2 linked regions of the Caenorhabditis elegans genome follow. Changing the gene in region 1 together with any one later gene gives a genetic interaction. Each region holds a gene or a part of one and is shown in the gene's direction. Other genes may lie near its edges.

Region 1 (5,342 bases):
TCTTATCAAAAATGCCTCGTTTGTCGTTTCCTTTACTCCGACAAAGAAACTTTCCAGGTTCGTAGATTTCTTGTTTTCGCTGGTTAGATTTTGCAAAAACCACAAAAACATAATTGTGCTTAGAAAACGACTAATGCAGCTAATTTTCTGTTCTGCAGAAAACACACAAATCGTGATAGATAAAAAAAGAAAATGGCAATTAGAACGCATTCCTACTGCAAAAAAAAATTGAAAATTTGTTTCGCTCAGATTCAAAGATTCAAAGCATTTATTTAAAGCTAAACTATGCTTGTTGGTAAGACTACTTAAATATGCATTTTCACAAAAAAACATTCAGGTATGTGATTTCTAAAAAGTGATGTTTGACTACATTTGAAAACAGAACTGTTGTTGAGAAACAGTTTGAATTTTCAAAGGTCGTCTAGAACTTTCAAAACTAATCCATCAAGTGTTAGATCAGATAAAAAAATGATCAGAATTTTTGTACAACTGAATTGAATTTGAGCTTGAAAATTTTGTATTGTAATACAAGATATTCCATGAAAGGTAAAAAATAGTACTAATTTTTACAAAAAACAATTATTTTCTAAAATATGAAATTAAAACAAAAAAATGTTTTTGAAATGCACTTTTAATTTAAAAAAAACTCGCTTCCCACAAAAATCAAGTTTTATATTTTCATTATCAGTGTGGCGTAAAATTGTTTAGCTCTTATGCTACCACTTATGCACGTCGGCTCTTAAATAGATTTTCTGAGTTAAAAAATTGATTTTGCCCCAGAATTTTTTTAACTGTTGGAATTGTATAACATTACTCATTTAGCAGTAGAGGCCTAAAAAGAACGCGTTGTTTATTTATTTTATAAAGTCATAATTGCACTTTATTGCAAATAAAAGATGAAAAACGCAAGTGGGGAAACGATGAGAAACTATGATTAAATATCATAACATGTGTTTTTTTTCGAGTCAAAAAACAGGAAAAACGTTTCACCACTTTTTTCAAAAGAGTATTTTTTCCAGTTTCATGGTTAAATTATCTGGGAAAGTTGTATATTCCGACATCGTAGAGGTTAGGACACACGGCAGTGCTTTAGATTTCTTGAGAAACTCAAAATAAAAAAAATTCCGCTTTAGCATTGCCCGTACTCCAACTTTATTAGAGAATATACAACATTGTAATACTTTTTAAAATTACAAAGTGACAAAATAAATATGGTCTTTCTCTGTGAAACACATGTATTCTGGTTTTTGCAAACGTCAATTGTGTTCCAATGTTTTGTTTCATCAATTTTGTTCTGTTACGAACAGATATTATAGCGAAATAACCCTACAAAAATGTTCCAATTTTACAGTGCGTCCAACTTCTATAGCACCCCCTCTAATTGAAATGTTGAAGCTTTTCCCTAATTTAAATGTTGAAAAACCTATGGCTTCAAATTTTTATATTGATATTTTAAAAATTACGAAAATAATGCCAAAATAACGAAAAAAAACTACCAATCTACTTCTATTGCATGTTTTTCGTTAAAATCATTGATTTTATTGTTGTCAATCTCTTCAGTAAAGACTTCAAAATTTACAAGTGTTGTTTAAAACAACATAGTTTTTGATTAAAATCTACTGGCTAGTTAGTTTTCTTTGAGAAAATGTTCTATGAATTATTCTATCGGAGCTGCCTTTCTTTTTCCCTGACGCATTGACTAATTACTTGTTCAGCTCACGTAGTCTCTCCAAAAATCCTCATGTAACACAAATAGGTCTCCGTGGGCAACATTTAGCCCCTCTCGCTGCCATCTGCTGTCGACGTCTCGAATCTCGACGTGTCTCTCCGTCCCGTTGTCCATCCATATGTCCTCCTTTTCAATGTGTCTCCCTTTTCCTAAAAAAAAACATCGACCCAGTGTGCTGCTGGCGCATTTCTCGATCTGCGCTTGGTGTTTTATTTCTGTTTTTTTATTTTGTCAGAAAAAAATGCCGCGGGTTTTGAATTTTAATGCACAGTTTACCGCGTTTTGTATCACTTTTTTGTTGAACCAATTTTAATCATGAAATTTATTAACCAAAAAGATAAAATTTGCTTTTATTGCGGCACAGCACGCAACATAGCGTAGCTGATAACAAATTTTTAACAATTAACTTTCATTTTTATTGTAATCAACAATGAATTTCATTTCAGCAAAGCTCGTCTTCGTGCCATGGTTATGGAATAAAATGGCTTTCATCAAGCGGAAAACAGTCAAGTTTTCAGTGGATTTACAAGTGAGTTAAGATTTGTTTTTTTTAAATATAATGTAAACTTTATATAATTTATATAAATTAATTTATAAAATTTTCAGGTATGTCAACTATCAGATGTTCCACTAGTGAATGCCACTGTTTTTGGAAAAATGCGGTTACTAGATGGAGGATCGTTTGAAGAAGCTACGGAACGAGTTGAAGTAGGTTTTTTATTTAAAAATTCACTCATTCATTAAATCAGGAGTATCCGATAAAGATTTGTATTTTATTATATTTCAAATGGTAGAAAAATCGGGATTTGTAACGAGACTACTCAAACGTTACTCGAAAATTTCATTATCGCAATTCAAAATTTCCAACACTATCTAATTTTAGCTAAAATCTCTATTTTTGTCAACATCTGAGTCCCAGCGGTAAAGAATACTATTACGAAATAAAACATATCTTCGGTCGCTGTGACACGAAAAAAATGGTCAAAATTAGAGTTTTAGCTAAAATTCGATTTTAAACATCCACAAAAAATCGAGAAAGGTTCTGTGAAGTTTTGTTGTGTTATTTACGTCCTATTTGAGTGTAATAAGATCAAAATGATTTATCGGTTACTTCTTTTTTTTTAAATAGCCATAGTGAAAATTTATTTAATTCAGGTGAAAAACCATAGCGCCTCATTCAACACACGATTTGTATTCTGCTGTCGGATTCCATGTGATCAAACTTCGGGAACACTGGAAAAGTGTCTGTGCCGAGTTTCTATAAGAAAAGTAAGGAGAATTTGGAAATAAATTGGGGTTACTAAAATATACTCACAATATGAAATAATGTTTATTTAAAAATACAAATTTTCATTTAAAAAAACAACATTCTAAACTTATTCCCCATTTATCTTCAACTTTTATCCCATTTTCAGGAACAAAAAGGAGGAAAATCGTATTACAAGCTCGGTTTTGTCGATATCAACCTCTCCGAATATGCAGCTTCCGGTGTTGAAGGAATCTCGAGGACCTATCTTTTAAACGGCTACACTAGCAATCAAAGATTGGATAACTCCAAAGTGTGCATCAAAGTTGCAATGACACATCAAAGTGCAGACCCATTCTTCAGAGTGTATGTTCACATATAATTTTCCGTTTAATGAACATGATTACTTTAGGCCTCGCCTGTCAACGTTCGGTCCACGACAAGATGGAGCTATTGATCAAGATGGTTTTCGAGCAGACGATGAAACTGATTCCGAAGAAGGAACATCGTCTCATCCGAAGCTTTCCAATGTAGATGTTCTAGGTAATTATTTCGAGATTCGTGAATCGATGTACTCTAAGGTTATTTCTATTTTTGCTTAATGCAGGAGCTGTAGATGTGAGGAGTTCACGTAAAACTGAAAACACTCTCTATTTCACTTAAAAATACATGAGTATTCCGTTAGCAGTTGCAAAAAGCTTTTCATATCATTGCAGTCTGTTAAAATTATATATGTCTGAAAATACTATTAAATTAAAGAAAACAAATAAATTGGCAACTGACGCTTAAAACGTTAACAATTGACTCCCGCGGAAGTTTGAAATTATCTCCTCAAACTTAATACATTTTTACTTGTTTTTATGTTATAAATATTAAATTATGAGACCCATAATGTCAGTTTCAATAATTTCCCCGACGCATTCTGAGCCTAAAATTCAACAACAGTGAGATTATAATTTATTTACGTGTTGAATGATAAAACAATACAACTGTTTTGTTCAAATTCCTTTTTTTGTGAAAATTTGACCAAAATTATTCAGAAAGTTCATCCGCCGCTAGCAACTCGCAAGTCGACGAACCAGTTGTCGAACGACGAGTAATACATCCACCACAACATCCAACCTGCCAACTACGACGATTTAGTCAAGATCGATCTGCTCAAAAAATTCAACACTCCAGGTAAGGTGAAACTTTTTTGAAACATTAAAAAAAAAGAGTCATGGCGAGTTTGACCTTTTTGATTCATGTTAAGAAGATTAGTGAAATGACCCAAATTCCTCTACTCTACTGTTTCATGTTTGAATTGAGTCCCATAAAAATAATTGAAAATTGGTCAAATATTGATTCTGAGCATTTCTTTTCCTAATTTTTCAATCATTTTCAGATTCGATGCAGACAACGTGATTGACAAAATCATTGCCGAATGTCGAATATCGGAAGATGAAGTGGAGAGTAACAGCGGAGGCTTGGTGCTCGAGAAATTCTTGGATAAACATGGAAAGCCACTTGTCAATCCACGTCAACCCGTGAAACGGACGTCTTATGTGGCTGAACATTTCAATGATGCGTGAAAAAATTTTCCCGTTTTGTTCTAAATTCGAAAATTTTCTTATTTCTACTACTTATTTACTTTGAAACTATGTGCATCATTTTGATGACTGCCTTTTTCATCTTACAAGCACTTTCTGGTTTTTGATATACGGTTTCTTCGTCTCATGTTAATTCTATTTTGATTGTATTACCAATGGGTCTTCTTTTTCAAGCAGCTAAATTATTTTCACTGTTCGGGTGATTAGAAAACTTTAACAAATAAAATGATTGTCTGACAGAAAAATGTTTATTCTTTACGGGAACAAAACTACCAGAAGAAAATTGGGATAGGCCGATTAGAAAGTAAAGGAAAGTGGTGGAAAAATGACTGTTTTAGTTGTGATTCGTGTGAGAAAAATAGAAGTTTGTAGGGAGAGTTTCATTGGAAAACAACCCATATAGTCCATGAAGTTTTAGGGAAAGGAAGAAAATGACAAAAAAAAATAAAAGGAAATAGATATGAAGTTGTAACATTACGACAAGAAGCATTGGATGGGAAACCGAGGGAAAACGTTCTACTCTAAATATATTGATTAAAGGAAATATCGAAAAAATCGAAACAGATTCATAAATTATATAAACAATCCAGGTAAATTTATCGGGGTGAGTGAGTGTAATGCAATGATTTGACATAGAAATGCGTATAAGTACTGGTGTTAATGGGGTATCTACCATCTTTTCTTGTAGTCATCGACTGACACTCCTCCTGGTCCGTAGGCAATGACAAGGAGAAGTCCTCCAATGACGGACATGGTTTGGAAGAAATCGTACTTCATG
Region 2 (4,910 bases), on another chromosome or scaffold:
AGTTGAAGCAATCATACTGTACATGAGAAACCTTCTTTAATTTAGTTTGAAAAAAAACTCCTATATCAAAATGGCAGATTCGAAGCCCAAAGTTTTTAAATAAGGAGGTAGGATATTCCCAATTTAATGCTCAAAGTTTCAAAATTTGGAGCTCAACACTTTTAGATCACATTCACTTATAAAGCTTGAATATTAAATGTACAATTCTAATAATTTATTAGTTCAAGCTTATCTTTGATCCTCTCCGGTGATTAAAAGTTGGTTGCCGGTCGAAACTTAAAAATAATCTCTCTTCCAAAAAAAATTGCACAGTCTAAACTTTTTAATCTTCGTGTTTTGGTTGTTGCGTCTATCCATCCCAGAAAAGATGTGTTTATTCCACTATTTGCACATGCAAAGAAGAATGAGACCGTAACCCCATTAAGCAGTGTAGTCCGTGGAATCCCCCCACATCTACTATTACTACTCAATCTCAAGTGTTTTGAACGGAACCGAACGGAAATGCATGAAGAAAATTTTGAGGCGTGGAGAGAGTTTGGTGCGTGATCCTCGTAGTTTTTGCAACTGAGTTTTGCATGTGTTTTGTTAGTTTAAAAGGTTCAAAAAGAGAAAGATGGTCGGAAAGTGTAAGGGTCAAACAATTCAGTTATATGTACTTGCATCTGTAGGCGTGTGCACTTCGAAAACTTTTATGCTCTAGGCATTATGTTTGAAGATTCAGAACATTTTTTCATCTCAAAATAATTTGACCTAAAATTAATTTTTCTAATGATTTTTTATATGTATCACTAACAATCTGTGACAAATCTACAAAGCCTAATTTAGTGTGAGCTGCCCACTCACAGGTTCTTGATTTTGAACAGCTCATTGGATTAATGAACAAGCTAGTTTTAATGAACTGTAAAAACGATAGAACTGTGTTCTGAAAACTGAGATTAATCTATGTAGATTAAACTCTAGATCGATAGAATTCAAACAAGATCTTTGAATTGTTTTAGGCTTCCAAGATCTTCTGGATGTTTATCGAATGAAAAATTTAATCTTTACTTTGATGCAGAAACGGTAATCAAAGAACCCGGGAAGGCGTTAGATACCATTTTCCGCCTTATTGCTTCACCCTGGCAGCTACTCTTACGGTTCATATCTCGTATTTTTTGTACGTTTCAAATCATGCTCAACAATATGATTATGTGGTTTGATTGGACTCGCAGTTCAAGCCCAGCTCTTGTCCTTATCGGCTCTCGCCCTTATAAAATCTAAAGAAAAGGCGTGTGAAAGACACCTCTATAACGCCTCGACCGGGTAATAATTTGTATAAGAATATTTAAAGACAAAAACGTATGCCTGTCAGATTTTAGTTATCATATCTAGGTCAATTTGCTCTTTGTACTTTTATTTTCATAGACACAGCATACGCACTTACCCATCAAATACCTTATCTCTGCTATTGGAATAATCAGATTCCATTTTTCAACTTTTATCCAATTACAGTTCCATCACCTTTTCGGTAGGTATCACACTCCCATTTACATATATCGTTTTTTAAGTTCTATCTTTTTCTCTCTCCCGTTTCCTTTCGCCGCGTGTTTTTCTAATTGATAGTCATCTTTCTTCTTCGAAAGTGCAATTTGACAGGAAAAAGTGCAGACTTGTTGAAAATTGAATTTTGCAGGAATGTCTACGAGGAGCCGGGGCTCCTGCTCCTCACCATGGTTCATCACCCCGTTGGTGCTACTAGCCCTGTGCAGAGGTATTGGTTTGAAAATATTACATAATACGGGTTTAATACGGGGATAAAAAATTTCTAATTTGGGTCAAGCTTAGCTAAAAACTTGCCAAAAAATCTTGAGCAAAAAGCTACGCTAAGAGCACATTGAACACTAGTATCTGACATTTGGGGATTTAATTCACAGTAAGTGATGCAGATCCAAAAATTAGAACTAGATAACCAACAAATTTTACCAAAAGCTTCATGAACTCGACGTTTTGTTTCAAAATCTTTTACCTTTGATCTACAGCCCACCTAGTAAAACACCATGAAAGCAAACTCATAAAACTGAAACCATATGGCTTCACCTATGGATTTTTACAAATGTGTCATTCAACCGTTTTCTTGATCTTCCGTTTTTACAAGTAGTTGTACCCACTACTTCATCTTCCATCTCACTTTTTCGGTTACTTTTTGGGGCGAGAGCGGAGGTGCCCCGGTGCCGCCTGTATCCAGCCTGCCAAGGTCATCACTGACCCATTTATGACGGCGGGAAACAACATGTTTGATGATTGGAATTGCGGTGGTCTTGTGTGTTGTTGGTTAAGAAAAATGACATGACATGAACAATTGGTATTTGGGAACAGATAGATTAAATGTTGGGAACTTTTACGCAAGCTTTGACACTTCAAAGACTGCCCATGATTCACATTTTACCTAGAGTTAAAAAACATCCAACTTGCTCAGATATAAAATAGAAAACAGTTTCAGTAAAGTTGTTTTTTTTTTCAGGGAGTCATCAAATCGCTAAAAACTTTGTGAACTCATCAACTCCAGATCTTCGACCCACATTTGTTGTAAATTTCGATACATCAACAGTTATTTGTCAGCACAGGTGAGCATTTAGTTATTGAAATTCTTAAACTGATTAAACTAGCAAGTTATATGGATGTGAACATCCAAACTAGATTGTCTGGAAAATTTAAGAGATATCTTGTTTATCAATTCTTTGTTTTCCAAATTTCTAAGTTAAAATTTCTCTTGAATTCTGACAGTAGTGCCCAAAAACAGCCAATTAAAAGAAAACCAAATGGGTCATCAGGCAAGAAAACAGGCGTATCAAAAGAGTGACACAGAGGTGTCATAAACTTTTTTTTGGAACACCGAAGAGTTGTTAACCTTGAGAGAATAGCAACACAAAAAATCAATTTCATGGATGATTGAAAAGAACAAAGTGTCAAATGGGTGGGAGAATATCGAGCAAAGTTGCAAAATTTGAATTTAGAATGATTTTGTGACCTCGAAAAAAGACCAAACTTTGTGGGATCAAGGAGAGAAAAAGGACAAAAAACTGGTTTAAAATTTTGAATTTTCAGCTCCGATCCAACAGACCTGCATATTCATAACATGAGCTCTTTATGCGATGGAAAACAAGATTGTTTTGTGAATCCTGCTATGCACGATGAAGTTTTCCCTTATTGTGGTTAGCCTTTTTTTTTTCAAAGTGCAGGTTTCCAATCAATTTTCTTTCAGAACACAAATGCCAGTCAACATGTAGTGGGAAAGGAGCGTGTCTCTACGATGGAGCCAAACCTCAATGCTATTGTGATTCCGGATTCTCTGGTTCAGCTTGTGAGCTTCAAGATAAGAATGAATGTTTGGAGCATCCTTGCCATATGATGGCTCAATGTCAAAACACGTTGGGATCCTATGAGTGTCGGTGTCTGCCAGGATATGAAGGAAATGGACACGAATGTACTGATATTGATGAATGCTCAGATAAACTTACATCTAGATGCCCAGAACATTCTAAATGTATCAACCTGCCTGGAACTTACTACTGTAATTGCACACAAGGGTTCACACCAAAAGTAGGCTTTTGCCATAATTATCACAAACATAAGAATCTATTTTTAATCTAAAAATTCGAAAAACAAGTACTTGAAAACTTGAGAAATGAGACTTGGAATTCTTCCACTTTAGTCATGCCATATATGTATATATATATATATAAATTCAATTTCATGGATGATTGAAGAGAACAAAGTGTCAAATGGGTGGGAAAGTATCGAGCAAAGTTACAAAATTTGAATTTAGAATGATTTTGTGACTTCGAAAAAAGACCAAACTTTGTGGGATCAAAAAGTATAAAATCCTAATTTCCAGGGAAACCAGGGATCTGGTCTTGACAAATGCGCAGATATCAACGAATGTGAGACTGGAGCCCATAACTGCGACGCAGACGAAATCTGCGAAAACTCAATTGGATCATTCAAATGTGTCAATAAATGCTCTCCCGGGTATGAGCTAATTGATGGAAAGTGTGAAGATGTAAATGAATGTGGATCTGAGAAACTTCATAAATGCGATGTACGTGCTGATTGTGTCAATACTATTGGTGGATATGAATGTGAATGCGAGGAAGGTTTTGAAGGAGATGGAAAGAATTGTCAACGTAAGTGTGGGCATTCCGTCAAACTACCCTGTAAATTTTGAAATATTTTGGTTGTACATTCGTCGCACATTCTTGCACTTCTAGCAACTTTTTAATTTTTGCGAGAACGTGAGGGTAAATACGAAATAAATTTCAGAAAGCTAAGACAAAGAATGAAAAATTATGCGTTTTAACAGCACTGATTTACCTAAATATATAATTTCCACCATTTCAGCAAAATCGTCTTGCCGTAAAAACTCTGCAATCTGTGATAGACACGCATCTTGTCACATTGTCCTAGACATCTGTGACTGTAAAACTGGATACACAGGAGATGGAATCACATGTCACGATATTAATGAATGTGATGCCAAAGATACACCATGCTCAGATGGCGGAAGATGCTTGAATTTGGACGGAGGATACGTTTGTTGCAAAAATGGACAAGATGACGCCACATGTATTAAAGGTGAGTTACATTTTGCCCAAATTACTTTAAGTAAGCTCATAAGTTTCAGACCAGGGAGCATTTTGCTCTGGAGGATGTGGTGACAACGCAATTTGCTCCAATGCAACTTGTGCTTGCATCGATGGTTTCCGTGGAGACCCACACAAAAAATGCGTCGATATCAATGAATGTGTGGAGAATGACTCGGTTTGTGGTGGAGTCGGAGATCGTTGTGTCAATCTATTCGGTGGATTCAAATGTTGCCAACATGGATCTACTGAAGCCGAGTGCACAGATCAGGCGTTTTCATCGGATTCTTC

Evidence for each region.
Region 2: of sym-3 (region 1) and fbn-1, changing one enhances a phenotype caused by changing the other (phenotypic enhancement), as found in Caenorhabditis elegans (one study listed by BioGRID).

Annotation. Positions count from the first base shown.
Region 1 is NC_003284.9:5,774,076-5,779,417, forward strand, and holds sym-3 (C2 NT-type domain-containing protein), read left to right. Parts: upstream 1-2,175; 5' UTR 2,176-2,210; coding exon 2,211-2,258; intron 2,259-2,335; coding exon 2,336-2,437; intron 2,438-2,884; coding exon 2,885-2,998; intron 2,999-3,144; coding exon 3,145-3,341; coding exon of another isoform or gene 3,342-3,357; exon of another isoform or gene 3,358-3,385; intron 3,386-3,387; coding exon 3,388-3,518; intron 3,519-4,015; coding exon 4,016-4,154; intron 4,155-4,359; coding exon 4,360-4,546; 3' UTR 4,547-4,803; downstream 4,804-5,342. Other genes in the region: sft-4 (Surfeit locus protein 4 homolog), read right to left, coding at 5,234-5,342.
Region 2 is NC_003281.10:7,623,712-7,628,621, forward strand, and holds the start of fbn-1 (EGF-like domain-containing protein), read left to right. Parts: upstream 1-1,674; coding exon 1,675-1,750; intron 1,751-2,230; exon of another isoform or gene 2,231-2,282; intron 2,283-2,500; coding exon 2,501-2,603; intron 2,604-3,084; coding exon 3,085-3,191; intron 3,192-3,241; coding exon 3,242-3,579; intron 3,580-3,874; coding exon 3,875-4,163; intron 4,164-4,377; coding exon 4,378-4,611; intron 4,612-4,660; coding exon 4,661-4,910.